4 linked regions of the Notamacropus eugenii genome follow. The main gene of each other region encodes a partner of the protein of the gene in region 2 in a complex. Links are inferred from orthologs where the notes say so. Each region holds a gene or a part of one and is shown on either strand. Other genes may lie near its edges.

Evidence for each region.
Region 1: SNRPG (region 2) and PRPF3 share a complex: the UniProt entries of both Homo sapiens proteins name them as parts of the U4/U6-U5 tri-snRNP complex. The link is inferred for Notamacropus eugenii from reciprocal best matches to the Homo sapiens genes SNRPG and PRPF3.
Region 3: SNRPG (region 2) and BUD13 share a complex: the UniProt entries of both Homo sapiens proteins name them as parts of the minor spliceosome. The link is inferred for Notamacropus eugenii from reciprocal best matches to the Homo sapiens genes SNRPG and BUD13.
Region 4: SNRPG (region 2) and STRAP share a complex: the UniProt entries of both Homo sapiens proteins name them as parts of the SMN-Sm complex. The link is inferred for Notamacropus eugenii from reciprocal best matches to the Homo sapiens genes SNRPG and STRAP.

The regions. Positions count from the first base shown.
Region 1 is NC_092873.1:304,220,012-304,227,802, forward strand, and holds the start of PRPF3 (U4/U6 small nuclear ribonucleoprotein Prp3), read left to right. Parts: upstream 1-4,785; 5' UTR 4,786-5,077; intron 5,078-6,204; 5' UTR 6,205-6,291; intron 6,292-7,204; 5' UTR 7,205-7,257; coding exon 7,258-7,402; intron 7,403-7,791. UniProt on the Homo sapiens protein: Plays a role in pre-mRNA splicing as component of the U4/U6-U5 tri-snRNP complex that is involved in spliceosome assembly, and as component of the precatalytic spliceosome (spliceosome B complex).
Region 2 is NC_092872.1:631,381,443-631,388,603, reverse strand, and holds the start of SNRPG (small nuclear ribonucleoprotein G), read left to right. Parts: upstream 1-4,150; 5' UTR 4,151-4,331; coding exon 4,332-4,363; intron 4,364-7,161. UniProt on the Homo sapiens protein: Plays a role in pre-mRNA splicing as a core component of the spliceosomal U1, U2, U4 and U5 small nuclear ribonucleoproteins (snRNPs), the building blocks of the spliceosome.
Region 3 is NC_092876.1:135,379,411-135,387,062, forward strand, and holds the start of BUD13 (BUD13 homolog), read left to right. Parts: upstream 1-4,646; 5' UTR 4,647-4,758; coding exon 4,759-4,901; intron 4,902-6,767; coding exon 6,768-6,858; intron 6,859-7,652. UniProt on the Homo sapiens protein: Involved in pre-mRNA splicing as component of the activated spliceosome. As a component of the minor spliceosome, involved in the splicing of U12-type introns in pre-mRNAs.
Region 4 is NC_092874.1:190,187,322-190,194,594, reverse strand, and holds the start of STRAP (serine-threonine kinase receptor-associated protein), read left to right. Parts: upstream 1-4,267; 5' UTR 4,268-4,680; coding exon 4,681-4,792; intron 4,793-6,462; coding exon 6,463-6,598; intron 6,599-7,273. UniProt on the Homo sapiens protein: The SMN complex catalyzes the assembly of small nuclear ribonucleoproteins (snRNPs), the building blocks of the spliceosome, and thereby plays an important role in the splicing of cellular pre-mRNAs.

The sequences.
Region 1 (7,791 bases), on a different chromosome or scaffold from region 2:
TCTTCCCTGTCCCTGTCCCCAACCAGGTTATTAATAAAAGGATGGTCATTTGGCCTTACCTCTTAGACTACAAACATGGTAGCAGGCTCACAGTTTATATACCCTTTGAAGAGTGTTCAGTGAGGGGTTGAGAGTGACATGTCACCACTGGACAGAGAAAATATCTTTATACCAGACTTGGACTATCTAGACCAGTACTTCTTAAAACTATGGGGTCCCAACCCACAGTTTGAGAGCCGAATGGGTGGAGAGTGGAAAAAGTTTAAGAAGCCCTGATCTAGATAAAAGGATCCGTCTCTGCCCAAGTTTGAGTAGAACACAATGGACTTCCCCATCTGAAATTAAATTCCTTGTAGAGTTGGGTTGGGTCTGACCAATATTAGGGAGAGTTAATTCAGTCTCATTATTAGTAATGTCCTTTAAGAGATTTAACTTTTTAAAATCAGGAATTTGGAAGAAAAGGAGAGCTCTAAATCTCCCTAAGATACTGGTTATTAATAATCATTTCTCTCACCAGCTCCCTCTATTGCATACTATTTTGTCCTGGATAAAATGGAAGTGACCCAACCTGACATTTCAAGTCCTCCCCAGTTTGACTCCAATTTATCTTTCCAGCCTAATCTCACACTACTTCCTTTCATACTCAAATTCTAGCCGAAATGAAATACAACAATTGCCTCACTTAGCATTCTGTCTCCTGCCTTTCTACCCAATGTATCCTGTGTCTGGACTTCAATTCTCTTCCCTCCACTTCTGAATATTTATTTCACTCAGGTATCACTGGGTTCTGAAGTAGAAAAGGCACCAGGCTTCAGACTTTCAAGTCTGTCTGACACTTTATAACCTGGGGCAAGTCATCTCAATTCTCCCGGGTCCCAGTTTCCTTAATTGAAGTGAGTGGGTTGGAGTGATAACCTCTAGATGGTTCCTTTCAACTTTTAATTTTTCATGTCCATGATCTGTTCACTCAACCATCCTCTGTGAAGATTTGTCTAAGTTGTAAGAGATTTAGATCACTGATGAATATTTAAGAGTTTTAGTTAAACCACTGGAATTAATATCTATAAGTCAGACTCAGATTTACTTGTACAGGCCTCAGTAGTAGAGTTTGTAAGTTTGGGTTCCCTAATTCTAAAGGCTACAAACTGGACCTGTCTCATGAGGGAGATAAGGAGGATGGATGGAAGATGATTCAACCTGGTCAAATGAGATAAGGAGGATGGATGGAAGATGATTCAACCTGGTCAAATGTTTTGCCGAACACTGGATCTCTTAGGTATTGAGTGGTATATGGCATGAGACTTTTCAGAGGATGTTGTTCAACTCTGTATTTTTCCTGTTGCTATAGATTCTGAAAACTCCCTCTTGCAAGTCAGTATGATTAAGCAAAATGTATAGCATACCCTTTGCCTTTCTTCTAAACCAACCAACAGTCCTAGTTTACTTTGCATCACTGGACTATTTTTGGTACTCTTTATAACCTATCTTTTCAATTGTATAAAAAGCTGCTCTGATTGTCAGAACTGTTTCTGATTACTAATGAGCCATTGCCCTACTTTATTGGCAACTGTTTACATTGCTAATAAATCGATCATGCTTGGAATCTTGTGTCTCAGTGTCTCTTAATTGCAAAATTTTCTCAAGACTGTTGTTAGTACTTTATCTCTCCTTAAATCACGTGAGATTTACTTATCTTTTTACATGTATCTTGATGTAATGTAGGTCCACTGAGGGCAGGCACTTTTGTTTGCGCATTCCCAGCATCATTCAGAATACGTAAATAATAACTATCTGTGGAATTTAACTGACGTAGGTTTATTGTGAGGAAGATGGAAGCTGATCCAGGACATACAAAAGCAAAGAGGTGGAAATGGAGAAATGATGCTGAAGGAAAGCTGCCTGTGCCATAAGGGATTTACTGAAAAAGACTTTTTTCCCATTTGAAAAACACTGGTAGAAATTACTGCTTCATTTTCTAATGGTTAGGACTCTTGTGCATTTTAAAACTGTGGCAATATTTAATAAATGTGTTAATTAACATCTTAGACATCTGTATTATATCTTTAGAAAAATAAAAACAATAATATTGAGTCCTTATATACAGGATATTGTCCCAGACACCGCCATGGTCAAGGACTGCCACTTGTATTAAAAATTATATTCTCCAATTCAAAAATTTTTTTTTCCTTTTTTGAAAACGAGTCTCTCTTTCTCACTCACACTGGAAGCACAGTGGCCACTCCTGGGCTCCATCCCACTTCTCATCTTCACAGAAGCTTTGACCTGCTCCATTTCTGACCTAGGCCAGTTGAACTTTCTTAGGCAGTTTGGTGGCTTTTGCTCCTGGGGGCTTATCATATTGATGCTGGATTTAGTTCATGCACTTGATTGGTTTAGAACATCCCAGCTTAAGAGATCTACCAGGCTCTGCCTCCTCAGGAGCAAGAATTACAGGTACCCAACTCTATGGTCCAGCATAAGGCTGATTTGTCTAAGGTTCTAGAACACAGATGAGGGGCAGTGTTAGTTATATTTCAAATGGTGCAGTGATTTTTCTAACCTGGCCACAAGTTCACTGTTACAGAATTCTAACACATCAATAAGGGGCTAAGATCTAAAAAGGGCCAAAAAACAATTACTATTATTAACAGACAAATGAGAAATAAAAACTTTGAAAACGAGGAGGGATATTTCAGGTACTTAAAAAATGACTTTGCTAAGGGGAATTTCTCCCCTCCAACTTTTGAAGTTTAATTCATATCCCTTCTCTTCTCTTTCTTTTCTTTCTACTAGGCAAATTACTTTAACTCTCAACTTCAGTTTACTCACCTGAAAAATAAGGGGGTTGACCTCTGAGGTTCCTTTCTGCCATAAATCTGATTTTTCATATGGTAATGATCTTCCTTGAACTAACTTCATAATAACTAACATTTATATAGTTTGTTTTTTAATAACTTTATTCCATTCTGTCTTCTCCCCCTCTATCATTCCAACTCTCTCTTTTCTTCAGTCTGTCTCCTGGCTACTGCCTACAAATATGTTCATGTCTCCTCCATCCTTAAAAAACCCTCACTTGATCTCCCACCCCCTTCCCTGCTATCATTCTATGTCTTTTTTTTTTTTTTTTTGTATGACTAAACTCTCTGAGAAGGCTATCTGTGATCACTGGCTCCACTTCCTTTCCTCTCACTCTCTTCTTAGCCCTTAGCAGTCTGACTTCTAACATCATAATTCAATGGAAACTTTTCAAAGTTAGCAATGATCTTTTAATTGCCAAATCTAATGGTCTTTTCTCAATCCTTTCTGCAGTCTTTGATAGTTAATCACCTTCTTTTCCTTGATAATCTCTTTTCTCTAGGTTTTTATGACACTTCTCTCTCCTGGTTCTCCTGTATGATTGCTTTTTCTCAGTCTCCGAGATGGATCTTCATTCAGAGCATGCCTATTAATCATGGGGAAACCCAAAGGCTCTATTCTGGACAATTACTGCACTTCCTGATTTCATCAATTTCCAAGGATTCAACTATCATTTCTATATAGATGACTTTCACATTTATTTATCTATCCCTAACCTCTCCTAACTTCTGTTCTTTCATCCTCAGCTACCTATTGGACATCTCAAACTGGATGTCTCAGTGACATCTTAAGCTCAACATGTCCAAAACAGAATTTATCTTTTCCTCAATCTTCTCCTCCTCCTAACTTCCCTATTACTTCTAGGATGCCACCATCTTCCCAGTCATCAAGGCTCACAACCTAGGCGTCATCCTCAACTCCAAACTCTCACTCCCCATAGCCTGTCAATTGCTAAGTCTTGTTTCTTACATTTCTTGATACAACTCCTTCTCTCTGACACTGCCATCATGCTGGTGCAAGCCTTAATCAACTCACACCTGGACTACTGCAATAGTCTGCTGGTGGGTCTGCCTGCCTTAAGTCTCTGCCCCTTCCCCTTTCAGTCCATCATCCACTCAGCTGTCAAATTGGTTTTCCTAATGTACAGATCTGACCACGGTTCCAGACTGCCTCCAAGATCAAATTTAAAATCCTCTATTTGTTTTATCCAAAGTCCTCTACATCTTGGTCCCTTCCTATCTTTCCAGTCTTCTTAACATCTTAACACCACAGCCTTTCAACCTGGTACTCTGCAATCCGGTGCCTCTGGCTTCCTTGCCGTTCCTCCAGCAAGGTAATCCATCTTCCACTCTAGGCATTTACACTGACTCTCCCCCTCGCCCAGAATGTTCTCACCTCTGCCAAGCTTCCTTGGAGTCCCAACTAAACTCCCACCTTCTTCAAGAAGCCTTTCCCAAACCTCCTCAATGCCAGTGCCTTCCCTCTATTGATTTAGCCTGTATACGGAACGTTTGTATATGGTGGTTGGCAAGTTGTCTCACTAAGGGTTTCGGAGTGTTGTACGAGCTTGTGGAAGGGGCGGTGCTAGGAAGTGTTCTTAAATAGCGTCTTTGCCCCATTATCCCCACTTTAAAGACGAGGAGGGATAGCTGGACGCTCTCCGTAAAGCCTCTCGGGCACCCGCCGAGTGAACCCACGCGCCGTGTCAGTAAAGGGCACCAAGACTGGAAGCCCGCTTGATTATTCACACTTTACCAGATCCTAGCACGGTGCTCCACACCGGGTCCGCGCTTACTAAACCTGACTTTGCACGCGAAGGCCAAGGCTCGGGGAAGACATCCCAGCCTTCGACTTCATCCCCAACTTTCGCATAAAGCGCTCGCTTCCTGCACTGGGGAAACGTCTGTCGGCTCTACTTCCGTTTCCGGAAGAATGAACTTCCGGTTTTCCGCACGGGATAATGGTGGGCGGATAGTCCTGGTCATCTCAAGTCCTCCTAGGCTTCGAAAGAACCGTGCGCATGCGCCGAGACGGGTGGGCGGGCGAGCGAACCTCTTCGCATTTCTCTGCACCCTTTGGGCTCGCCACCGTCACGTGCCAGGGGCGCCGGGCGGGAAGCCGCGTGGCGGAGGCAGCGGTAACGACGGCAAGCCGTAAGGTCGGCCGACTTCCGGTTCCGGTGTAACGTTCGGGCTCCGTCTCAGGGGCTGAAGTTTGTGAGGTGAGTAGCGGGCTCGGGCCCAGTGGGGCTGGCTGTGGGGCCTGGGGGCTCAGCCTCCTAGCCCTGGCCGCAGTCAGAGCCCAGTTGGAGGTGGCGATCCCTTAGGCGAATGGGCCCAAGGGAGAGTGGCCAAGGAGAGGTTTCTGAGGGGGAGTGGGGTGGCGGGGATTGTAGGGAGGTAAAGGGCGGGGGCGGGAAGGGCAAAAGAGGCTCGGACCGAGGTGAGCTGCCCCGGGACAACCGGGGGGTGGGGGGCTTAGGTCAAAGGGGAAAAAAGAGCGGGACTGGGGAAGCATCCCGAGTGGAAACTTCCACCCTGAGTCTTCACTGGGGCTCATTTGGCCTTCCTAGTGGAGGCTCCACTTTAGTATGTTGTCATCTGCTCAGTGACATGTCAAGTTGTGATCCCCAAAGCTGATTTGTGTACCACCCACACCCTTTGTTTTGTTTTCATATCAAATGAACTAGCATGTGGTGGTGAGGGTTTCGTTTACAAGCGTTCAGAGCCCTAGCTATATTCCAGTCCTTTAAACGCTACGGATGTGATGATGACCAAGGTTTTTACTTTTGTCGTTTTTTAAGTATTTACAAAAGAAGCTCTCTATTTAACTTGATCATTACAACAATCCTTTGAGCATAGGCAAACCCTTTTGTCTTAGTCCCTGTTTTACAAGTGGGATACTGAAAGCCCGAGGAATTAAGTTGCTCATTCCCTACTCTTGACAACACCAGGATCCCTCTTAATACCATGCATGATAACATTCTCTGTATTCGCAGTTCAGGAATATGTATGGTTGAGTAGGAGTTTAGGAAAACATAGTCTTTTTCAGTGATTCCTTAAAATGATTGAGACCCTCTTGGGCTCTTTTGTCATCTAACTGATAGGTGAATAGACCTCTTAATGAGTTTTCTTTCAGCAAGACATATGCTGGATACTCAGATACTTCAGAACATCCTGTATGTGGTCTTTTTCCTTTAGTTTCATCTGTTCTTTTCCAGGCCCCTCTATCCCACTTTATTCCAAATTCAAAATCATAGTTTGGTGGTAATTCCGAGTGTGAACTTGTACAGATCTGTACTGAAATGTTGTTCTGAAATGAAGACATTAATCATTATATTTCTCATAGGGAAAAGATGTCTTAGGATATCCTAAAGAAGATCATTTACTTTTAAATGAAGAAAACTGGAATCACAAATTGGACAGAAACTCTGGTGTATGTGCTTACTTAGATTTGAAAAGGTTAAATCAATGAGTAATTATTTTCTCCTGTGTCCTGAGCACTATACCAGATGATATAAGAAGAATACTTAAGAAAATAGCTTATGTCATTGAATAGCTTCTGATTTAGCTAGACAAGTAAAGGTGTGAATATAAATGACAGTCCTGCTTAATAGAATGTTCAGTGAGAAGGTCTATTGTTCAGAAGACTCTTCAGTGGTTTCTTTTTTCTTTGCTGAACTCAAGAATTAGATTAGAAGTAAAGAATTGTCAGTCAGGAGAGGAGGAGGGTGTGCATCTTCATTTCTGTGATCCTTGTCAAGCACCCTGTCAGAATGGTCTGTCATGTAAACTTACATTATGAGAGGGTTGGTCAGTCATACAGTTTTTATGTGAAATTAGGGTATGGTGTCATGAAGAGAAAAATCTGTAAAGGAATGTGCTTAGAAGTTGTGAACCTTAATATAAAATTGGTGTTTAACTCTACCATAAATACTTCATGACCCACTGACCTGTATTAGGATCCCACAGAAAAGGATTCTGTCAGTCAGAATGAGGTTAGGGGAGGCCATGCATGAGCCTGATGACTTCTGAAAGACTTCTGCTATATTTCCATATTGTATAATCTGTCAGGCTCTGTAGATCTAATAGTATAAGGAAGGAAGCACCAGAATACAGTTCTCAGCTCAATTCCCCCTGGGTTAGCATAAGAGATGCTCTCTTTTGGATTTATTTTTTACAAAGATTGTTACCAGGGGGATGAATTTATCTGTAATTGTAGTAAATTAACTTGCCCAGGGGTGCAGGAGGTAGCCGGGGGAGAAGTCATTTCTGATAAAATAAATGTCAACCTGTATTATTTTCAGTCTCCTACCCTTCCCAATCACTTTCTCCTTTTTCCCTCATAGGTGCTGTGTTGAGTATTCAAGGTTGTCTCACTGTCTGTTGTCCTTTCTAAAGAATGGCCCTGTCCAAGAGGGAGCTGGATGAGCTGAAGCCATGGATCGAGAAGACAGTGAAGAGGGTGTTGGGTTTCTCAGAACCCACAGTGGTCACAGCAGCGTTAAATTGTGTAGGAAAGGGCATGGATAAGAAGAAAGCAGCTGGTATGTATTTTTTTTGGTTCCTGAATATGTCTCTCAGCCTGACTCTCAGAACTGAAATATTTGAAGCATTCGTAGGGTTAAAATGATGTTGGAACTTTGAAGGGAGAAGGCTCTATTTTTCTTGTGCTGGGTAGTGAGAATAGTCAGTTTGCTTTTGGATTATCTGCTGAGTGTCTTTTGAATCCCTTGCTGATTTTCTGCATATGTCAAAGTTGCCTCAGTCATGTATGCTTACGATATATTTTATGTACAAAACATGTTTATAGACAATACTTGCTTTATGTAAATTTGCATTATGTAAATTCAACTTTTTGTAAAGAATTCTGAAAGAAATCCCCATTCCAGAAAACACCTATGTTAACTACAATGCTTTGATTTCTCTCTTCTCC
Region 2 (7,161 bases):
GCATGTGAAGCTCAGGTTCCTTCACAGTGACTTTTCTCAGACTGCTGCTCAAGTTACTTTTTCTTGCCCTTCTGGAAGATACTACAAGAACAACACTTCAGTTAGTGTTTTTTGAGACTAACATGAAACGGTTTTCAGTTAAGGCCAAAGAAAGCCTCTCTTTGCTTACAGAACAATCTTAAGCCTCTTGCTTAATGGAATGGTGGATGACAGGTTTGGGTCAGTTAATTTTCCCCAAAGCAGAAAAAGATGTGATATCTGACCCTGGCTCTTCTACAGAAACAACTTGTTGAAAGGAACCTCTAAGGACAGGAAAGGGTAGGAAAACAACTTAAACTTCTAAGCAGGTTGCAAGGGAGAGCTTTTTTCTACTCCAGAATACAAGATGCAGCTAGCACCAATTATCCAGTAATCACTGTTGGTTAAAACTTTGAGCAACATGCTAGTACCAGGCATTGTGCTGGAAAAGATCTTGTTCTCTTTATACCAACTTCTTACTGAATGCAATTAACGTAGCCTTCCTATTCAGTGTTTCAAGGCTATGTCATATTTTCCTAGTGGTTTGATGAAAAAAATAAATAGTTTGATTTTTTTTACTTCCCCCATTAGTGAACTGCTTTTCTTTTTACATCTGGACAATGATATTTTTACCTGGTTCTCAGTGTGTGAAGAATGTATTTATACAGGTATCAGAAACATCACTTACAGCACATATGGAGGAATTGGTCCATTTACACCTAAACTGAATTGTGACATTTATTGGAGGTGTTCATGCCTTCAGGAAGAGCATTAGAGTAGAAATCAAGAAACCTGGGCATCCGTTTTGTGGCATAGACCTGTGCCCTCCTGTGACAGGGGACTGGACTAGCTGGCGATCCTTAAGGTCTTGTTGAGAGATGCCAACTCTGACATTCTCTGAAGTATCTGATCATTAGAATTACTTTGGTTTCAGATAACCAAGATAAATTCCAGTTCTAGTGAAAACACATTTCCTCCCATAAGACTTCATTTCTCTAGGCCTCAAACTCTTCAAATAGAATGAGGGGTTCAAACTAAATTCCAAGATCCTTTCAATTGTAACAGTCTGTTAATCTTAAGGCTGTGTTGAGGCAAGTTTATATTTAAGATGTTCTGTCTGTTGGCTTCCCCTTGCTTCTGGAATCAGAGGGAATTTGAGGTATTTCCATAGTGAACAAGGAAGAGATTGCCAGAGAAAGGATTTGTTGAGGGACTCTTTAGTGTCAGATTATTTGTGTACCCAGCAATGCTGGGCCTACAGGGGACGCCTGATGAATGCTTGTGACTGGGGATAGACCTCTAGGAATATGGCTTTTAGAAAGAATTGTACACTAATAGACCTTAGAGCTTGCCTAGGAAAACTGGGAACCAGAAAGATAAAATAAAAGTTCTCCAAAACTACTAACTACTGGAAATTATTTTGATTAGATACATTTTATCATGTTAAGGAAGAACCTCTCAACACCTATTCTAAATTTTTGTTCTTATTATTAGATGGATGAACATTTTGTATTTTTGTCAAACTAATAAATCCGTGAGGGAGAATTTATGAGGAAACTTGGACAAAAAGAACAAAAAGATGTGAGGGATAATGATCTTTATGTATAATATATAACTCATTAAAATCACAACTATCAAGGTGTTAAGAGTGGATAAATAATTTTATCTTTATAAAAACACCTCATTTTTATAGAATAATGGCAACATGGAATAATGGGTAAAGTGATAATCCGCTGACTGACAGTATTCAAAAAAGAACAGGCCAAATGAAAATTAACTTGGTACAAGTAGATTCAAAGTCTTACATGCGGGTTCAGAATATATCAAGTATAAAGTAGGGAAGGTGTAGTTCCATTGTCTATTCTGTTTAGATCATATCTGATGTATTTTGTATAATTTTGGGTGTTGCTATTTAGGAAAGGGATTGATAAGTTGGAAGATGTTTAGAGGAGGGCCAGCAGGACTATGAAGGGTTTTGAGCTCATGCCATACAATAGCTAGTATTTATACAATGTTTTAAGGTTTGCAAAATAGTTTGCCTTCTCTTTCTCATTTTCTCAACATGGGAGGGTAGGTAGTATTCCTCTGGTTTTACAAAGAAGGAAACTGAAGGGTTATACAACCCTGTCTGAGGCAGGATTCAGACCTGAATCTTCTTGATTCCAAGTCTTAATGTATTAACGTCCTGGAACAAAGGATGTTTAGCTTGGAGCAGAGAATGTTTGGGGCACATGAGAGCTGTCTTCAAGTATCTGAGAGCTGTAATATGGAAGAAGGATTAGATTTGTTCTCCTTGGCCCCAGAAAGAAGGTATTTTTCCCTCTTAATTATATAATTCTCCTGCCTCATTATTGTGATGTCCATGCAGGTGAAGTCCAAGAGGCTTCATGTTTGTCTTAAGATCATCCTAGCTAAATTCAGAGGCTTATCACCATATTGACCATTTTATAAGTGTAGTCAGCACTCGAGCAACTTCACTGGTCCTCAGTTTCCTCATCTGTGAAATGGTGGTTTAGATGCAGTGGGTGGAAGTTGCAGAGGAAATTTAAGGTTGATGTCAGGAAAAACTTGCAAATAATTAGAAATGGCCTCCCTCACAAGGTATTGGATGCCCTCTGATTGGAGGCCATTAGATGACTTGTTATGTAGTAGAGAATTCTTTTCAGATTTGTAAAGTTCTACCTACATTTGGGTACGTAAAGTCTTACATAGGTACAAAGAGTTGACTTCAGCAGGTACAAAGGTAAGAAGACTTGTTTAGATGGCAGCTGTTATAAAAAATATCTTTGGGTTTGCAAATCAGCAGTGTATGTAACCAAAAATGTTAATATAACATTGAGCTGCATTAAAATACCAATAATGTTAGTAGCTAGCAATTATATAGTACTTTTAGATCTGCAAGGTCCCTTACATGTTCTCACTTGATACACTCAACAACTCTATAAGGTAAGTGAAATCTCCACTTTACTTTTTATAGCTCTGTGTGGTCACAGAGGGCAGAACCAGGAGCAATGGGTGACAGCTGGCAAAGAGACAAATTTAGGCTCCGTATTGAAGAAAATCTAAGAAATGGAGCTGTCAAAAAAGTGTGAATTTCTCCTCAGATGCAGAGGCTATCGAATCAAGCTGATCACTTTTCTGATAGTGGAGATTCCTTGCATATATGGGTTGGACTAGATGGTTACTTAGATCCCTTTCAACTCAGGTTTTCTGATTCTGTGATTCATTGACTGATTTATTACTCTTTGGGGCATTCTCAGGCGGGATACTTTTAAGGTTCACAAAGTTACCATCCCTGCACATCCCTGGCTTATATCGATACAAGCATGGATTTTCACACCTTGATTACATGATTCTCGGGCCTTCCCCTTGTGATGTGGATGTGGGCCTGACTCCCATGCAGGTATGGCCTAGAGGGTGCATATTTATAATTAGAGGATCTACTTACCTAAATTCAGAGAGGCTCATTACCATCCTGGCCATTTTGTAAGTGTAGACAGCACTCGAGCAACTTCATTGGGCCTCAGTTTCCTTATCTGTAAAATGAGTTGGACTAGAGGCTCTCTAAGCACCCTTCCAGTCCTAGGTCCTTTATGGGCCTATGCAATGTTCAAGGGAAGTATGGAGTGATGCTGAAACGGCACACGCTGGACCTCACTTTTGATCTGCTCCCCTACCTGGATTCGACTCCATGGTACAAGATAACTTACAAGAAAATCCCCAGTCCTGTCCCAACCCCCGCTTCCCTGCCTCCTTTGTGCGTTGTCAACCCCTTGAGATTGTAAGGGCCTTGAGGGCAGGCACTGGCTTTTAATTAATTGTGTCTTTAGCACTTAGTACAGCGCCTGGCTCATAGTAAACTCCCAATACATATTTCTTGGATGGACTGGATTTAACAATGAAATAAAAATAATGTAATATACGAATAAAATAAATAGCAGACACTAGAAACAGAGGGACCTGTGTTTGAGTCCTTTCCACTAACTGCTTATCTGCCTCTGCCTCAGATAAGTCTCTTCTATCTGGGTCTCTGTCTTTCTTCCCCAAAAGACTAGACAGGTTCAGGATCCGCGCTGAAATCCAACAAACTGTTCAATTACCGGGCTAGTTCCCAGCCCCGCCCACCTGTAGCAGTGCGCATGCGCAGCAGGCTTCGGTTGGCTGCCTCAGCACGAGGCGGGGCTGCTCGGTTTGTGATTGGTTTGCCGGAGCCGATGATGCCAGACGTAAGGTGGCGTCAGTGGCGGCAAGGGGAGCGTGAGTGAAGCCGAGGATTGCACGGGGAGGAGGCGAAGGGCCGCAAGTGAAACAAAATGAGTAAAGCGCACCCACCCGAGCTAAAAAAGTGAGTACGGTGACCTGGCAGTTGGAGGGCCCGGGAGTTCAGCTCAGCCTGCACCGGCTAGTGAGGGAGGCCTGAGGAAGCCGATTAGAGGCTTCTGCTTCCCGGCATGCTCCACGTTCCCGGCCTTCTCTCTGCCCCTGGCCACGTGGGGAGGGGGAGGGGCGCGCGCTCGCGCGCTCTCGGCCTCTTGTGTCTCGCGCTCCATTCATTCTCTCCCGAACAGTGGTTATTGAGGGGCCTCAGGTTTGGGAGGCGATGCTGGGTGTGGCGGATGGATGGACGGATGGATGGATGGATGGATGCATAGATAGATGGATCGCAGGGCCCTTCAGACCTTGCATCTACCACGTTAAGATTCCCTCGGGGCTTTTTTGGAGCCTAAAACAAGTGCTTGGTGATTTGAATCGCCGTGTAATCTATTTGAAAGAATGACATTTAAAACCAGATTGAGTTTAGAGGTAATTCCAGCCACTTTATTTGACAGAAGAGTAAACTGAGGCTCGGAGAAGGACAATGACCTGTCAGAGGTGGTTTAAGTGGAGCCAGATTTCCCACCTTCTCCTTGCTCGTTGGTGTTCTCTTTTTACCTCACACGTTTTGGGGGCATGTTCTTTCTTGTAGCTTTTGGAATGAAACGGTGGAAAGATGGCAGAGTTTAAAGTGGAATGAGTACGCAAGACCTAGTCAGATAGGAAGCAGGCACATCGAAACCAATCCCTTCATTTTACAGATGTGAAAACTGAGGACCAGACCCACTTCTACATAGTGCCATGAAGTACTGCTCACTGTTTCTCTTTTTTTTAAATGTCTTGATCATTTGTCTTAACATTGTCTTTATTTCCCTGTATATCCCACTCCCCATCCCACCCAAGGGAGCCATACCTTATAATGAAGAATGAAAAAGAAAAGTGGGGTGGAGGAGAAAAATCAGGTAAAATAAGTCATTAGACATATTAGAAGAACCTGGAGTGGAATATCATGAAAGCCAAGGGTAGGAAAGATATTGAAGAGGAAGTCAACACTTAAATAGAGGCTTGATCTAGCGGGGCATGCCCCCCAAAAAATGGTTTTGGGAAGTAGGGTACCATTCGTGAACTTTGAGAAAGCCATTTTTGTTAAGTATTTAGGTATGAAAACCAGATTGCATGTGGTTGAGTCAAATTTTAGGCCTTAGAAGTATCCCTTACTTTAAGGACTCAACTATTTCCATCTCCTTTATGAAGCTTTTCTCAGTTCTCCTCAGCTTTCCCCATCTCAATTTTCCTTGTACTGTACATAATGTCTTATTCCGTTGTAGCTAGGTGATGAAGTAGAGGGAACCTTTAACTTGGAGACAGGAAGCCCCAGGTTAAAATCCAACCTTTGTGACCCTGGACAAATCACTTAACCTCTGTCTGCCTCAGTTTCCTCAACTGTAAAACGGGGATCAATAAAAGCATCTGCCTTACAAGGTTGTTTTAAGGATCAGATTAGATATTTGTGAAGCACTTAGTACATTGCCCTGTACACAGTAGGTGGCCTATGTAAATACCTATTTCCTTTTCCCCCGAAAGTTTCTTGAGGACTAGAATCTTTTGTGTATAGTAGATGCTTAATAAATGTTTTAGTGAATTTAGAAAGAATGATACCTGAAGGGAGTAGAAAGATTTAGGAAAGATTTTGTTATTTCAAGATTGGAAACACCTGAGTAGATTTATAGTTAGAGAGGAAGAAGCCTGTAGAAAGAGGTGGTAGTAATATAAGTGCCTTGAAAGCTATTGAACTGGGAGGCAGGTACCCAGTCTTCTGTGTAACTTGGACAAATCACTTTATCTCTGAGCCTATTTCCTCATCTGTAAAATAAAAATATTAGAGTAGATAATCTCTAAAATTAATTTCCAGCTCCAAATGTTAAGAGTCAACAAACTTGTAATAAGTAACCTATTATGTATACATAGTATATTAGAGTTACAGAGACAAAATTGACAGTCTCTGCCCTCTAGGAACTTAGTCTACTAGTAGATACAATGTTAAATAAGTTAAAAACCAATAATTTGAGGAGGAAAAGAGCATTAACAACTGGAGGAATCAGGAAAAGCTTGGTGGAGAAGAGAGCAACTGAGTTGGGTTGAAAGGAAGATGAGAGTTCTGACAGGCAAAGATGAGGCCCTGCATGAGGATGAGGGGCTAGCAAGGGATGACTTGTATGATTGTGTAGAAATGGGATGTAGAATAATAGATGCAGAGAATAATGGGGCATTAGCCAGAAAGTAGAGCACATAAAGGGAAATAATACAAAATGCATTTGAAAAGGTAGGCTATTGACAGCTATAAATTTGCTTGCTCAAGAGTTTGTATTCTAGAGTTAGCAGGGAAATGCTTTTTGAACTGGAGTAAGTCATGTGAAATGCTGAAAGAGCTGGGAGGGGAGAGCATCAAGGACACTTATTCCAAGGGCTTATATATCACCTTGGGGGGAAAGGGAGACTAAGATAGAAAGACTTACTGTAGATAAGTTTTGAGATGTGGAAAGAAAGGGACAACACAAACTTGCATTTATATGATGCTGTAAATTTTGCAAAGCACTTTCATGGGAAAAGGCTCAAAGAGGGCAGATGATAGTTAATGTGCTGGATGAAAACTGGACAGCAGAGAGATCTTGTCAGACTAAAACATGGGGCAGAATCCAATAAGATGAAGTTCTGTAGGGATAGTTATAGTCTTACACTTATAAAGTTAGGGGAGGAGAAGGTTTGAGCTCAAGGCCAGGATAGGGAGAAATGGTTACAGTATCTGGGTTTTTTTAGTGGACTGCAAAC
Region 3 (7,652 bases), on a different chromosome or scaffold from region 2:
TGTTATTGGCACGATGCTAATCTTTTTATAGAATAACTTGATCTTCACTCTAATATGTAGCCCTCAGGAAATAGGAAACTGCTCCATATAAGAAAGCTACAATGCAGGAATGAGTTGATATTAGGGAGGGGAACTTAACTGCACCTTTTTCTCTGCCAAAGAAATTGTAATAACTAGCAATATGGGCCTAAGAATACCATGACCCAGAAAGGAGAACCTTCCAGGACCTAAAATCACTACAACATACCTGTAGAGTTTTCCTTTTAACTTTAAAAATATGGAGCAGGAAAAAACCAGGAAGAATTTTAGTACCTGCAAGTGGTCTCCATTTATCCACCTTGCACATCAGTATATTATGCAAATCAGCCTTCTGAAAACACTTTACCTCAGAAGAATAATTCTTTGGCTTTTAAGTCTTACATAATTATTGCTTCTACTGTACATCCTGTCACTGGACTTTGGAATTCTATTGCTACCTCTCTGCAATCCAGAACAAGGTTCTCTCCTCATCTTGTGAAACTCCATCATAGGACATAAAACTCATAATCCAAGTTTTTTCTTAGACTAATTTATATATTTTTAATTAGGTGCATCTGTTAACATACCAGAAGAGTTTTTCCTAAGTAACATTATGCAGCAAAAGATCTGATTGGTTAAAAGTAATAAGCATTAACAGGTACACAACAAATCAACCTAGTTAGACTAGGTGTGAGCTTGAAATGATCTACAGGTAACCAACCTTCCTTCATAGCTGCAGTCTCTGCAAGGAGGAATAAAAGATGACATGATGGTTTTAAAAACTTGGTAATTCATCATGTACAAGTTAGATTGTAAACAGTTTTTTGGACACAAGTGGAAAAAAAGTTTTCAGTATGAAATCCACAACAATTTCCATAAATGTATGCTAACATACAGAGGGGCTGATGGGATACATAGCCTGACTGCTGTGTTTTCTTTCTTCCAAGGTTCTTTGCAGTTCTAAGTCTATGAGATCATTATTCTTGGAACCAAATAGTCCAAGTTCTTCTATTTCTTCATATGGCATGATCTTTAAACACTTCACCATTCCAGCTGGCCTTTTTATGCACTTCTCACCAGTTTATCCATGTCCTTCATAAATTGTGTCTAGAACTGAACATTGTATTCCAAAAGTGTTTTGACCAGGTTAGAATAGGGTGGGATGCTCACTTCCCTCGTCCTAAGTGGTATGCTCTTAATGTGCCCTGGACACATTAGCGTTTCACTTGCCATATAATGTTGAATCATATTGAACTAAAAATCTTCAAATTATTTTCAATTCAACTTTTAATTCAGTTGAATTGCCATGCAGATTATCTAACTGAATCCCCTCATTTTACAGACAGGTCCTCCCATAGGAACCAAAAGCCTTTCCTTGAGCCTTTTCATCCATTCAGCTACCCTCCTTTCTCCCTATCACTAATCACATTTGAAATGGGTGCCTCTACTTCATGGCACCATCTGCTTGCTCTTGTACACTTAGTTAATTTGTCTTCTTGCAGCACTATTCTACCGAATAGGTTCTACCTAAGCCTTTTTCTCCTAAAAGTCACTGAAGAGCTCTTTATCAATAAATTCCATGGATTTTTCCATTTCCATAGTTCCATCTCTGGGCAGATACCTCCCAGATTTATTTATATCCACTTTTAGTCTCTAAGCCACTGAGTTTCAGTCCCTGATACCAAAGGCCAGTTAGATATTTCAAACTGGATGTTCCAGAGACTAACATGTCTAAAACTAAACTTGGTTTTTTCATTGCAAACTTTCTCTCTTGCAAACTTGGCTATTTCTGTCAAGGAAACCTCCATTCTTTCAGTGTCTTGGATTGAAATCTTGACATTTGTCCTGAACTTTCTTACATATCACATATCCAATCAGTTGCCAAATCGTGCCATTCTATATTCATATCTTTTCTTTCTGACCTCTCCAGTCACAGAGCTGCCACCTTTGTTCGGGCCTTTATCACCTTGCAGTTAGATTACTGTAACAGCTCCTTATTAATCTCTCTGCTTCAAGTGTCTCCCCACTCCTACATGCTGCTACCAAAATAGTTTTCCTTAAATGTAGATCTGACCATGATTCCCCTACTCAACCAACTTCAATGTCTTCCTAGTGCCTCAAGGATAAAAAGATAAACTCTGTTTAGCTTTCAAAGACCTTCACTTCCTGGCTCTAACCTGTCTTTCCAGCCTACTTAGGCATTTCTCTCCATCCTGCACTTTGTGAAACAGCCAAACTGACCTTCTCTCTGTTCCTGACACATGACACTCTAACTCCGTTTTGCATGCCTTTGTCTTGGTCATCCCAAAGTAGTCTACCTTCCTTTATGATGCTGTTCAGGCACCATCTTCAAATGAAGTATTTCCGCATTCCTCTCATTGCTAGTGCCCTCCTTCCTAAAGTACTTTACATTCCACTATTTTGTATATATTTGTATTTATTTACTATGTATTTTGATATGGAATTGTCTTCTCCATTAGAATCTAAGTTCATTATGAGTAGGATCTGTTTCACTCTTTGTACTTGCATCCCCAGTGCCTAATACAGTAAGGGCTTAATAAATACTTGTGGATTGACCAATTTCTCATTCTCCTTGACCTGTTTGCCACCTTTTATACTGTTGACCAATCACTTCTACTGTATGCTTTATTGGTTTTAGAGCCTACATTTCTAAGCTGTTCTTGGTCTTTTTCATTGGCTACTAACCTCAGGAGCTAGTGTTGGAGCTGAGCTCAAATCCTACTCAAACACTTTATTAGCTGTGTAACCCCAGACAAGTCACTTAATCTCTCAGCTCTTTCCTCTTGACAATGACAGAATGATGACCATAACAGCACCTATCTCCAACTGTGTAAAGATATTTGTAGAGTTTTGTAAACCCTAACATGCTATGTAACACTACTTACGATATTGATGATGATGCCCTTTACCCCTTATTATGGGGGTTCCCCAAGGGTCTCTTCTCATCTTCACATTTTTTCCATTGGCAATCTCATTTACTGCCAGGGCTTCAACCATGTCATAGTCATCATCCCTGCAATTGATTTTAAAAGATTAATTTTGAAAAATTAGGAATTTAAACACCAAATAAAATAGGCTATGCACATAGCAGAATAGAAAAGAGGACTGTAAATGAAACGATCTCTATTATGTAAAATTAAATAATATAATAGATTGAATATGCAATTTCAAAGCTGCCTTGTCTGATTTTTTTCTTGTTTTCCTACTGTTCTCTTCTGTGCATTTAAAAATTCTAGTGACTCTTTTTCTTTTTTGATGGGCTATCTTGTCCCTGGCTCCTCCTCTGCCCTCCCCCAAACTGAAAAAATAAAAAATAAAAAAACAAAGGCTTTGTAACAGATTTGCGCAGCCGGTTTAAAACAAGTTCCCATATTAGTCATATCCAAAAAAGTCTTTTCCTACAACTTGAGTTCATTATCTCAGGAAATGGGCAGTATGCTTTATCACATCAGTCCTCCAAAATTATAGTTGGTCATCGCATTAAATAGCATCCTTACGTCTTTCAAAGTTGCTTTTCTTCACAACATTATGTATATTGTTCCCCAGGTTCCGCTGGCTTTACTGTGCACCACTTCAAGAAGTCTTCTGTTTCTCTGAAACCATCCCTTTTGTCGTTTCTTCTGGCACAATATTCCATTCTGTTTTCATATCATAATTTGTTCAGTCGTTCCTCAATCGGTGGGCAGCCCTGGTGTCCACTTCTTTGCCACAACCAAGAGCTGCTATGAATGTTCTTGTGTATAGAGGAGCTATGTGGAATATGGGCCTAGTAGTGCCAAGGACGCGTGTAGTGTAGTGACTTTGGGGGCATCATCTGGGGACAAACTGCTTTCCAGTAGAGTTTCTGACCAATTCACAGCTCCCCCATGGCACATGGAGGGTGCTGGCTTTCCCACGGCCCTTCCAAAAACTGCCATGGCACTAACTCGATGACTTGTGATGTAGAGGCCTTTCTTGGTCTGATGGTTGCTAGCTTAGATGTGCGCCCACAGGCTTTGCCTGCTTGTCCTCGTTCGTGTAACTGGGTCAGTTCCTTCGACAGGGCACGTACGCTCGATGCCCACCTGGCACCGCAGACTCATCATGTCTGACTCCCGATATGTGCTCTCTGGCTCATGACGGGCAGGGCTACCCACGCCGGGGAAGGAGAGCGGAGGACTCCCGTGCAGGCTGAAGCACACTTTGTTCGTTTCGTTTGTTTATTTTGGGGGCAACATGATGCTGCGTGACTTCACACGTAAGACGGGCAGACGGGGGCAGAGGCGAGAGGGGGGGCAGAATTCGGAACTCCAAAACAAAGCTGTAATAGAGGGAAAGGCGTTACCACGGACCCAGTCCCGCCCACGTGGCGTGGGGCAGCCGTCCTTCTCCCTCCACTGCCCCGGTTTCATTCCCCTACGTCTCTCTTCCCACGGCCCCCCCCCCCCCCCTTGTATTCCTCCCCGCCCCGCTCCCCGCCCCGCTCCCCCAAACCCCGGGCCGCTGCTTTGCTGGGGCCGTTGTGGCCCCGCCCGCTTCCCCGGGCTGAGCAAGAGCAGGAGCGGGGCCACGCCCACAGCCAGGGACCAATCAGATGCTCCCCTCGCTCTGTCTGCGCTGCCCGGGAGTCCTAGCTCCACCCCCTGCAGGCCCGCCGGGAACGTTTGGCGTTGCGGTTAAGTTTGTGTCCCGCGCCGCGCCGTAGCTCGGTTCCGGTTCTCCTCCGCTTCCTCCGCTGCCATGGCGGCTGCCCCGCCGCTCTCCAAGGCTGAGTATCTGAAGCGTTACTTGTCGGGGCCCGAGGCAGCTGCCGATGCGGGGTCGGAGCCTAGTCGTAAGCGCCGCAAGAAACGGCCGAAGCCGACGGGTGCCGGAGGGAAAGGGTGAGCCAAGGGGGAGTGTGTGTGTGAGTGTGTGTGTTTGTGTGTCCGTGTGTGTCCGTGTGTGTGTGTGTCCGTGTGTGTGTGTGTCCGTGTGTGTGTGTCCGCGTGTCCGCGTGTCCGTGTGTCCGCGGGCCGAGCCGCTCAGCCCCGGCCTCCTCCGCCCCAGAGCGCCCGCACTGCCTCCTGGGCGGCACGGGGTGCCCGGCTCCGCGCCCAGCGCCGGGGGGGCCCCAGCCCGAGCCGCCGGGCACAGCCGGGCCGAGCCGGGAGCGCCCTCCTGGAACTCGAGCTCCGAGCTGCCGCGAGGAGACTGGCGAGGCGCGGGCGGAGCGCCGGGGGCACTGCGAGGGGCAGCGCCCGGGTGTCAGGAATACGGAGACAGGAAAGGGGGGCTCGGGTCGTGACTTTCCCGGAGCTTTATGGAGGGCTGGGGTGGGGGCCGCGTGTCAGACGGCGCCCTGCACAGAAAGAAGGTGAAGGCGGGGGTGTCCCCAGGGGAAGCCGGGCAGCCTCGGGGAGATCACTGACAGCCCAAGGGAGGATGGCCGGGAGTGGGAAGGACACGGGGCCTGTCAGCGGTGCCAGAAAGCAGAGAGGTTGTGAAGGTAGAAGGGGCAGCGGGGGGCACAGTGGGTAGAGTGCCAGGCCTCGAGGCAGGAAGACTCACCTTCCTGAATTCAGATCCGGCCCCAGAGTCTTCCTAGCCCAGTGACCCCGGGCAAGTCCCTTAACCCTGTTTGCCTCAGTTTCCTCATCTGTACAATGAGCTGGAGAAGGAACTGGCAAACCTCTCCACTATCTTTGCCAAGAAAACCCCGAATGGGGTCCTGAAGAGTCAGACAAGACTGAAAGGATGGAACTACAGGAGCAGCTGTAAAGGTAGAGACGAGACTTGGTACCGGATTGGATGTGCAGGTGGTGAGAAAGCACTTTGAGCCTGGGTGCCTGGGAGGGTGCTGGTGCTCTCTGTGGAAACTGGAAAGTTAGGCAAGCACCAGTGACCCTAGGCTGTGGCCTTCCTCCTGCCCTGGCTCCTTGGTCCCCCCCATCACAACTGTGCTCTCTCCTGGCGCTGAAGGCTGTGACTGTCTCTTTGTCATTCCTTTCATCTGACTGTCTTTTTCCCATGAGCTTAGGCTCTGGCCTTATGTAGATGGCCCTCTTTCCCACCTTGTCCCCTCTCTTCTCCAAGCCCACAGTTCTCCCTATTTACTCCCCTCTGTACCCTCTTCCTTCCTGACACCCATGTGCCCCATTCAAATCAACCCAGCTTCTGGGCCAGATCAGTTTCCTCTCTGTTGACCATGTTGCCCTCTCTTAGTCACCAAATTCAGTTCCTTGTCTCTCCCTTTGTATCTCCTCAGTGACCTGAGCCCTGGATACACTCCTTTTCTCTCATTCCCTCCCAGACCTTGAGGAGTGAACTGGGAGGATCCAACCTGAAGTTTGGGATGAAATGCTTCAGAAGTTAAAGGGCAGGGGGTGTTTGGGGGGTGGGCCTGGGGAGAAGAGTACCAAGGGGGCCAGTGAAAAACACGGCAGTGGAATTAGGCCCAGAGGTAGGATTTCAGGCTGGGAATCCAAACTTTTGGGCTTTGAAGTAGGAGATAGCCCACTGGTTGTGGTTGGGGATTTGTGTTCCATCCTGTTCCCAGTCTCTTTCAGAGTAACTTTTCAAAGTTAACTTTTCCTAAATTCTTCAGTCTTAGAGATGTTGGCTTTGCAGGAAAAGGGCAAACTAAATGGGGCTTCTCTCTGTCTGCTCATGCCTCTCTCTGACTTATTTCTGAGCAACTGTTTGGGTCTCCTAGAATGTTGTTGGTTCTCATCTTGAAAATAGTTCTTTTTTCTGACTATTTTCTGTAGGATGAGGATTGTGGATGATGATGTGAGCTGGGCAAATATTTCTACTAAGTTAGAAAAAGAAGAAGAGGAAGAGGAGGGAGATTTGCCTGTGGTAAGTTTGGGAGTAATACGCGCTTAGGAACTTGTGTTTGCTTCAAGCAGATTCCTTTCATTTGGTTATAAGATCACAGAATTTAGAGCTTAGAAAGAACTTTGGAGATTGTCTTGTCTAACCTCATTTTATAGACGAGACAATATCGGTTCAGAGAAATTGATCGACTTCCCCAAGGTCAGGCATTAAGTGGACCCCAACTCTTAATGCTATGGGTGAATGGAAAGTGGTGGGAACAGAGAAGCAATGATGCTTTGCTTAAAATTGTAACAAAATGTTAATTAATAGTTGTGCTATACTCATTTCATTAGGAGCATCATCCTCCTAATAGTGAGGAAGCAATCACACAGAGGGAGTGACTTTCCAAGTGTGTGTTTTTGCTCAGCCAAAACTGTATTTAGTTTATGTTTGCAATTCTCCACTGAAAAATGTAAGAAAACATGCATAACAACTCTAAAGAAACTTTTGCTCTCCTCTTACCACTTAATAGCTTGATGCCTCTGTTCATTCATTCATTCATTCATTCATTCATCAAGCAAGTAAACAAGCCGGCAGACATTTATTAAAGGCTCCCTATGTGCCAGGTACCAGGCTAGGTTCTGGGCATACAAAGACAGAAAGGAAACTGTTCCTTCCTGCCTTTAAGGAGCTTAAGTATTGTGATTGGGGGAGAGCATTTTTGGGGGTAACAAGCAACACTAATACAAATAAATAGATACATAGTAAATATAAATAATTTCCATTGGGAATAACATTAACAGTTGAGAGGATCAGCAGAAGCCTCTTCCGGAAGG
Region 4 (7,273 bases), on a different chromosome or scaffold from region 2:
GACAATACCCCACCATCCACCCCTAGGTCACTGTAAGAACAATCTCCTTAATTTAATACATAGTGTCCAAGTAAAGTCCTTTCTCATCTTGACCTGAGGCTGACTTCCAAACACCATGGCTCCTCCTCTGTGGGCCAACCATTCTCAGTTTTTGCCTGGGTTCACATACAGGCAGCTCTCAACTCCTGTTCCTTGGCTCAGCTCATGGTGACTGTTCTACTCCAAACTCTTCCTGCTTTTGCCTAATGACAGGCTCCAGGGGCTCCTGCCCATAGCTTTTGTTACTAAGAAAACAAAGCTTAAGAGGGCTATAACAATATTTATAACACATTACCAATGTCCTCATCTCAATTCACTCATAAAGACCAATAGACAGGGATTCTGTCTGAGAAATCAACACAGATTAACAGACAGGGCTTCTGCCTCAGGAATTAACACAGACCAACAGACAGAGCACCAACATCACAAACATTCTTTCTGTTAGGTGTCCCCATTCCCCTAGCCCACTCATGGTCGTTTCTTTCTCTCAGCTCTGTTTCTCTCTCTGCTTCTCTTAGCTCTGCTTGTCTCTCCAAGCAATACAATGTATATTGTTTCCAATCAAAGATTCTTAATTGATTCAATGAAAGGTAAGACTCAGTCGAAGGCACTTGATTGGCAAACTCAATCTAGAAAAACTGCCAAGAATTCTACTTTGCTAGCCATTACAATGGCCTGAGTCTGAGCTAGCCCAGAACAGATAAAATTACATATAATACATGGTATTAGATGGTGCTTCTAATAATGGGATACCACCTTCCTTTATGAAAATTGGAAAAATTCCCTTCCACTGTCATCCAGGGACTTAAAATCACCTCCAAATGAGTCAAAGGGTCACTTTTCCTCTGTAACCCCACTTTTGCTCCAAGTTTTGGGTAATTTTCTTAGGGGCAGTCTTGTAAGACTGTATGGATGTGTGTGTGTGTGTGTGTATGTGTGTGTGTGTGTGTAGGGGCTAGCAGCAGAAAGCCATGACTCATTTGCTGAGCATAAAGCGGAGAAGGGATTTCTTTTAAGAGATTCCTGAGAGAAATGGAAAGGGAGATCCAGAAAGAATGTAAATTTTTGAATAGTAGACAGGAGATCTAAATAAAGATACCGACTGGCGGTAAAGCCAGACTTCAACAGGTCTTTTGATTTCTAGCACCAGCCCTAGAGAATGCTGAGTGGAATACCCCCTCCTAGCCCTCACTCCTCATTTTTCTCTTCCCTTAGTTGAAATGAGTTCGTATTTCAGTTCAGAAGAGCTCATTTATTCTACTCTACTACTTTAATCTAAATGAGCTGATTTCCATTTACTGATTACTTTGATAGAGGTCTAATAGCTATCTGTATTTGTATTTTCTATAACTATTATTTGGTGGGAGGGAGCTTAGCTGATGAGGGTGAGTTAAGTTTTATCCTACCCTTAAGAGGGACAAGGGGAAAAGTGCCTTTTGTTTTGAATGTTTAAAAGAGAGAACACTGACCCTTAGACTACAAATATTTGAGGTGTGCTGATACAATTGTGGGCACAGTGAATACAGTGTTGAGCCTGGAATCAGAAAGATGATTCTTCCTGTGGTCAAATCCAGCCTCAGACACTTACTACTTGTGTGACCCTGGGCAAGTCATCTAACCCTGCTTGCCTCGGTTTCCTTATCTGCAAAATGAGCTGGAAAATGAAATGGCAAACAACTCCAGTATATTTGACAAAAAATCCTAAATGGGGTCCTGAACAATTGGACATGACTGAACAACAACAGATATAATTGTAGCCTCAAATACCTATTGGGGATAGAAGAGCAAGAGTGATTGCCTGGTCATACCTTGACTAGATTCTCCCTGTGGTTCACAGGGCTTTTGGCAATGCAGTTCCAGACTGCCTCCAAGCCAGAGGTGGAAATCATAATCTCCATTTGCAGACATGGAATAGGGCTTTCCAGATCTCACCTCTGATATCTGTCTATATCATATGTGGACTAATTGTTTTATATTAGATCTACCCACGTCTATTACATATGAATTGGGAAAATAAGCCTAGAATCTAGGAACACCTCTAAGCTCACTGTGACGATGAAGAGAGTTTTTTCTCAAATTAGAAAAGAAAAAAATACTCCACATTTGGTCCCTCAAACCCTTTCTAAGAAGACATAGTCCAAAACATCTCAGGGAAAAGGAAATCTATCAGTTAAGGGAGACCTGAACCATTTCTTCAGGTTGCAGAGAATCTTCTGAGATGTCACAAATCTTAAGGTCCAGCTGACCCACACAAAAGATGGAGTAAGAATGGACTGGAGGGGGTCAACTGGCACTATATACAAAAGTAGTCTGTCTTGATCAGCTGAAGCCTAGATCTGAGAAAATATTAGAGTAGAGATCCCTCTTTCTCCTTAGGATTCTGCTGATTTATCAGAGACACAGCCTCTGGGAGAAAGGATGAACAATCCTGATAATCAGGGAGTGTGGTGATGAAATTGTATCAAAACTCCATTTCAAGGATCCATTTATATCAGCTCTTTTTGTGCTGCCCATCATTTGGCAAATGGCTGAAAAGGCTATGGCATATGGTTGTGATGGAATGCTATTGTGCTGTAAGAAATGATGAGCTTCAGAAAAACCTAGGAAGACATATGAATTGATGCAAAGTGAAGTGAGTAGAACTAGGAAAATACTGTACATAGTAGCAGCAACCTTATAACGTAGTCAGCTGTGAAAGACTTAGCTAGTCTGATCAACAACAGAATGATCCTAGACAATTCTAAAGGACTTCTGATGAAAAATCACCTTTTCACCTCCAGAGAGAGAACTGATGAATTCTGATTGCAGATTTGAAGTATACTATTTGCTTTCCGGTTTATGTGGAAATGTTTTGCGTGACTTCATATGTATAATAGGTATTAATTTCTTGATTTCTCAATGGATGAGGAACAGGTGGAGAGAAGGAAAGAATTTGAAACTGAAAAAAAATTTTTAAGTCTATGTCAGCACTCCATGATAAAAGCTGCTCCGGGTTGGAATCGAAGATGTAAAACTCATCAAATGGGATGATAACATAATACAAATATTTTCTGTGACTCCCTAGACTATAACTCCTTTTTCTTGCTACTCCCTTATGTGTGTTTTTTCCACCATTAGAAAGAATCTAAGCTTCCTGAGCATAGGGATGGTGTGCGTCATTCTACTTGTATTTCCAGCACTTTTGCTGTTTATCACATACCAATCGCTTTATCAATACTTTTTTTTGATTCATCTATTTATCAGAGAACCTTATGCGCCATTCATGAAGTACAGCTTGATGCTGGGGCAGGTTGAGCAGCAGCCCTGCCATCAGGCAGACAATCTGGCCCCAGACTCTTAGTGGGCATGCGACTCTGGGCAAGTCACAACCCTGTTGGTCTCAACTCCTCACCTACCACATGAGCGGAAGAAAATCCCCAAACCCCAATCTTCGCCAAGAGAACCCGACTGGGGTCACGAATCGGACAAGACCCAACGGGTCACTTCAATCCCTGCTACTCAGTTTCCTCCTCTTTAACATGAAGTAGAACAAGCCAGCTCAGCCAAGTCAAGCTCCTGGAAGGCGGGGGCTGTTCTGTTTCTGTCCTTGGGGTTCTCCACGCAGTGCCTGGCACCCAAGAAAAGCCTAATACATTTTAAAACTTAAACTAGTTGTTTTTTGCCCATGAGCGGGCAGCGCAGCAGGTGGAGAAGGAGGGGATGACTTGGAATCTCCGATCCGCCCTCCTTCGGTCCGTGCCCGCAGCCGCCCGTCTCTAAGCCTGGGCTCCTGGGAACGTCAAGGGCTTTCCAGTTCTAGATCTAGAACCTCGGGAAGAAGGTTAACAATGCGATTCCACCCACGGTTACTGTAGCTGGGGCGCTATTGTGTATACTGAAAATACAACAAAATACACGGACTCAGGTAGGAGTCGGACCGGGAGGGGACCGGAAGCAGGGCGACTGCTATTCTGGGGGACACGTGCGTCCCTAAAACTGCTCAAGTCGAGATCCAATCGGTTGAAGACGATACGGCCCCAGGGTGGCCTGGACCCCAAACGGGCGGGGCAGGAGACGCCTTTCCCGAGCGCTCGAGACAAACCGCCCCACCTGCTAGTGCCTTCACCCACTCCTTCTCTCCGGAAGGTAGAGAAAGGGAGGGCCCGGGGGGTGGGGCCAGAGGCGGGGCCTAAAGTGAGCGGCGCCAGCAGCGGGGCCGAAGCCACGCCCTTTCTACGTCGTCATTTCCAGCGACGCCCTCACGTCATCTACCGTCGTCACTTCCTGCCAGCGCCGGAGTGGACGGTGCTGGCGGCGCCCGGCTCGGCGCTCCCCTCTCCTTCTTTCCCTCCCTCCCTCCCTCCCTTCCTCCTCTTCCTCCTCCTTTTCCTCTCCCTTCCTCGGCGGCTAGAGCCCACCCCGCGCTGACCCCCCCCCCCCAACCACCCACCGGAGGCCGCTCCAGATCTCAGCGCCGCCGTCCAGCTTCCTGCCCTCCCCCTCCGCCCCAGCCCCTGTGTCGGAACCAGGCCCTTCCCGGAGCGGCCGGAGCCTTCGCCGCCCCTCGGGAGCAGCCTTCGGAGGACATCAGCGACCCCACGGCGCCTCCCTGCAGCCGTCCGCTGAGGAGGAGCCGTCCCCCCCGACCCGGCCGCCGCCGCCATGGCGATGAGGCAGACCCCGCTGACCTGCTCGGGGCACACGCGGCCTGTGGTGGATCTGGCCTTCAGTGGCATCACTCCCTACGGCTATTTCCTGATCAGCGCCTGCAAAGGTGAGCGAGGTCCCGGGCTCGGGTTGGCGCTCCTTGGCCTGGAGGCGGAAAGGAAGGAGACAGGCCGTGCGCCGGCTCCAGAGGCCTCCCCGTGCCCTTGCCCGCTTCCGGGGGACCCCGGGTTTGGCCGTGGCCCCATTTTGGGAGGCGGGCCCAGTTGCCGCCAGTCCAGATGCCCCGGCCTGGAAAGGCTGGAAATAGATTCCGAGGCTTGGGGGAGGGGTGCTGGTGTGGGGCCCTGCCAGGGAGGCCCTAGGGAGTGGGGGCTGTCCCGCTCGGTGGGGAACAGAGGAAGCCTGGAGGAGCCTCGTTTGCTGTGGGCACATGGCTAAGAATCGGCTAGGCAAACTACCTCAACTTTCTCGCCAAGTTACTTGGAACAAGTTTACAATTTGGGTTTTTTATTTTTTTTTATCTTTTATGATTTTGCCCCACTTAAAGATTACAACATGTCTATTAGTCATAGGCTAAGCTTTAGATCCTCAAAAGTCAAAGGCCTCCCCCCACTTTTTTTTTTGTATTGTAGTGTATTCACAAACTATTAAGGAAATATCGCATACATGATTTGTGGAGTCCAGGACGTAGAATCGAGGAGTCCACTTAGTGAATTTTCATACTAAAAGATGTATTAAAACTTAGGATCAAATATTTAACATTTCAGAATGGCCATAATTTTATCATAGGGGAGGACTCCTTTCATCCCAACTGGCAATAGTGAGCCCTTCCATGCTTCTCAAGAAATTTACCACCTGGGGTGGCCAACCTGATTTCTTAAGTGTGCTAATGGGCTATTAAAGGCCAGGTTAGATCTAGAGTAGACAAGTCCATGCTTTTACTGTTGTCATAATCTTGGAATGTGAAAGATTATCCCCACATCGGTAGGAGGTATTGGAGGAGAACATATGAAGAGTTGCCTCAATTTAAAATATATAGCATGAAAGCTTTTGGAAATTCTGTTTTGAAGTATAATTACCAATTTTATGTTGAATATTTTTTTCAACTTTAAAATACATTTTCAGCTGTTATCCAATTATGGTTGATAATTCTTTCTGTAATCATTTATGTTTTAAAATACTCAGTAGGTCCATATATAAATGCAAATACATTGTGATTTTTGGTTTTTTGCTGTCTTATACTTTTCATTTATTGCCTTAGGTTTTACATTTGAATTGGATGTAACAAATTAATAGTTAAGTTAATCATACCATTTATGTCTGTTTCATGATAAAAATCTTGTAATTTCTTTTTTTTTTTTTTTACAAGCTTTTGCTTTGAGAGTAGTTTTGAAGATTTGCTGGACTTCTCACATGACTTTACCTAGCTCTTTTATTTAATTGTGAGATTGGCAAATTATTTCCACAGTTACATTTTTTTTCCTTATGAGACCTCTTCCAGATAGAGGGCTCCCAGGTGAAGAACTTGTTTACTGGTGGAGATTTGGTGGCTTCTTTGTCCCAGAAAGTTGCCTGAGATGCTGAAGTGACTTGCCCAGAGACACCTAACTTCTCAGTTCCTCACACAGCTCTAAAATTAAATTATAGAGCAATTGTTTCTTCTCTGGCAGTTCATTATGTCAGTGTAATTATTGAGAACTTTTAACTCCCAAATTTTTAGGAATATAACACTGATTACTGAAACACTTATTAATCACTTTTTAAAAATTTGTTTAGATGGTAAGCCTATGCTACGCCAAGGAGATACAGGAGACTGGATTGGAACATTTTTGGGTCATAAGGGTGCTGTATGGGGTGCCACATTGAATAAAGATGCTACAAAAGCAGCTACAGCAGCTGCAGATTTTACAGCGTAAGTAAAGGCATGTTTTCTCCCTTTTAACTGTATACTTGTGAAATATGTTATGAAATATCCAAAACATTAACAAGCCATACTTTTTAATCATTCAGCAAAAATCATTGGGTCCTTTTATGTTCAAAGTACTGATATACAGTTGTAGAATTCATTGGTTCAAAAAATTTTATTTGTAAGGAAAGTGATTGGATCTGACTTTTTACTGTTTTAGAGTAGCAAGACTACTCACTTAAATGTCAACGATATAACAATGTGTTAAAGACAAAAATAGAAAGGTCCCTGCCTATAATTAGCTTAAATTTTACTAAGTAAGTAAATTATGTACACAGATAATTATAACTCAGTGCCAGAAACATTTAAGTGCTTACTCTATAGAAAGACAAAAAATCAAAGTCCCTACCTTCAAGGAGCTTTTTGTTCTATTGCAATGTTAAAACATGTACATAAGTAAACTGGAAGGAATTTTTAGAGGTAAAAAGTGTTCATAAGTTGTGATGTGGAGGTGGGGGGAGCCAGGTATCAGAAAAGGACTTGTGGAAGATTGTAGAACCTGAGCTTTGTTTAGCAGAAAGAGTTAATACAAATGAAGGAGTGAGTTTCAGATGTCAGAGGAGTGCAAAGTTTCAGAAGGGAGAAATGGAATAGCATGTGTGGGTATTATTAATTAGTATG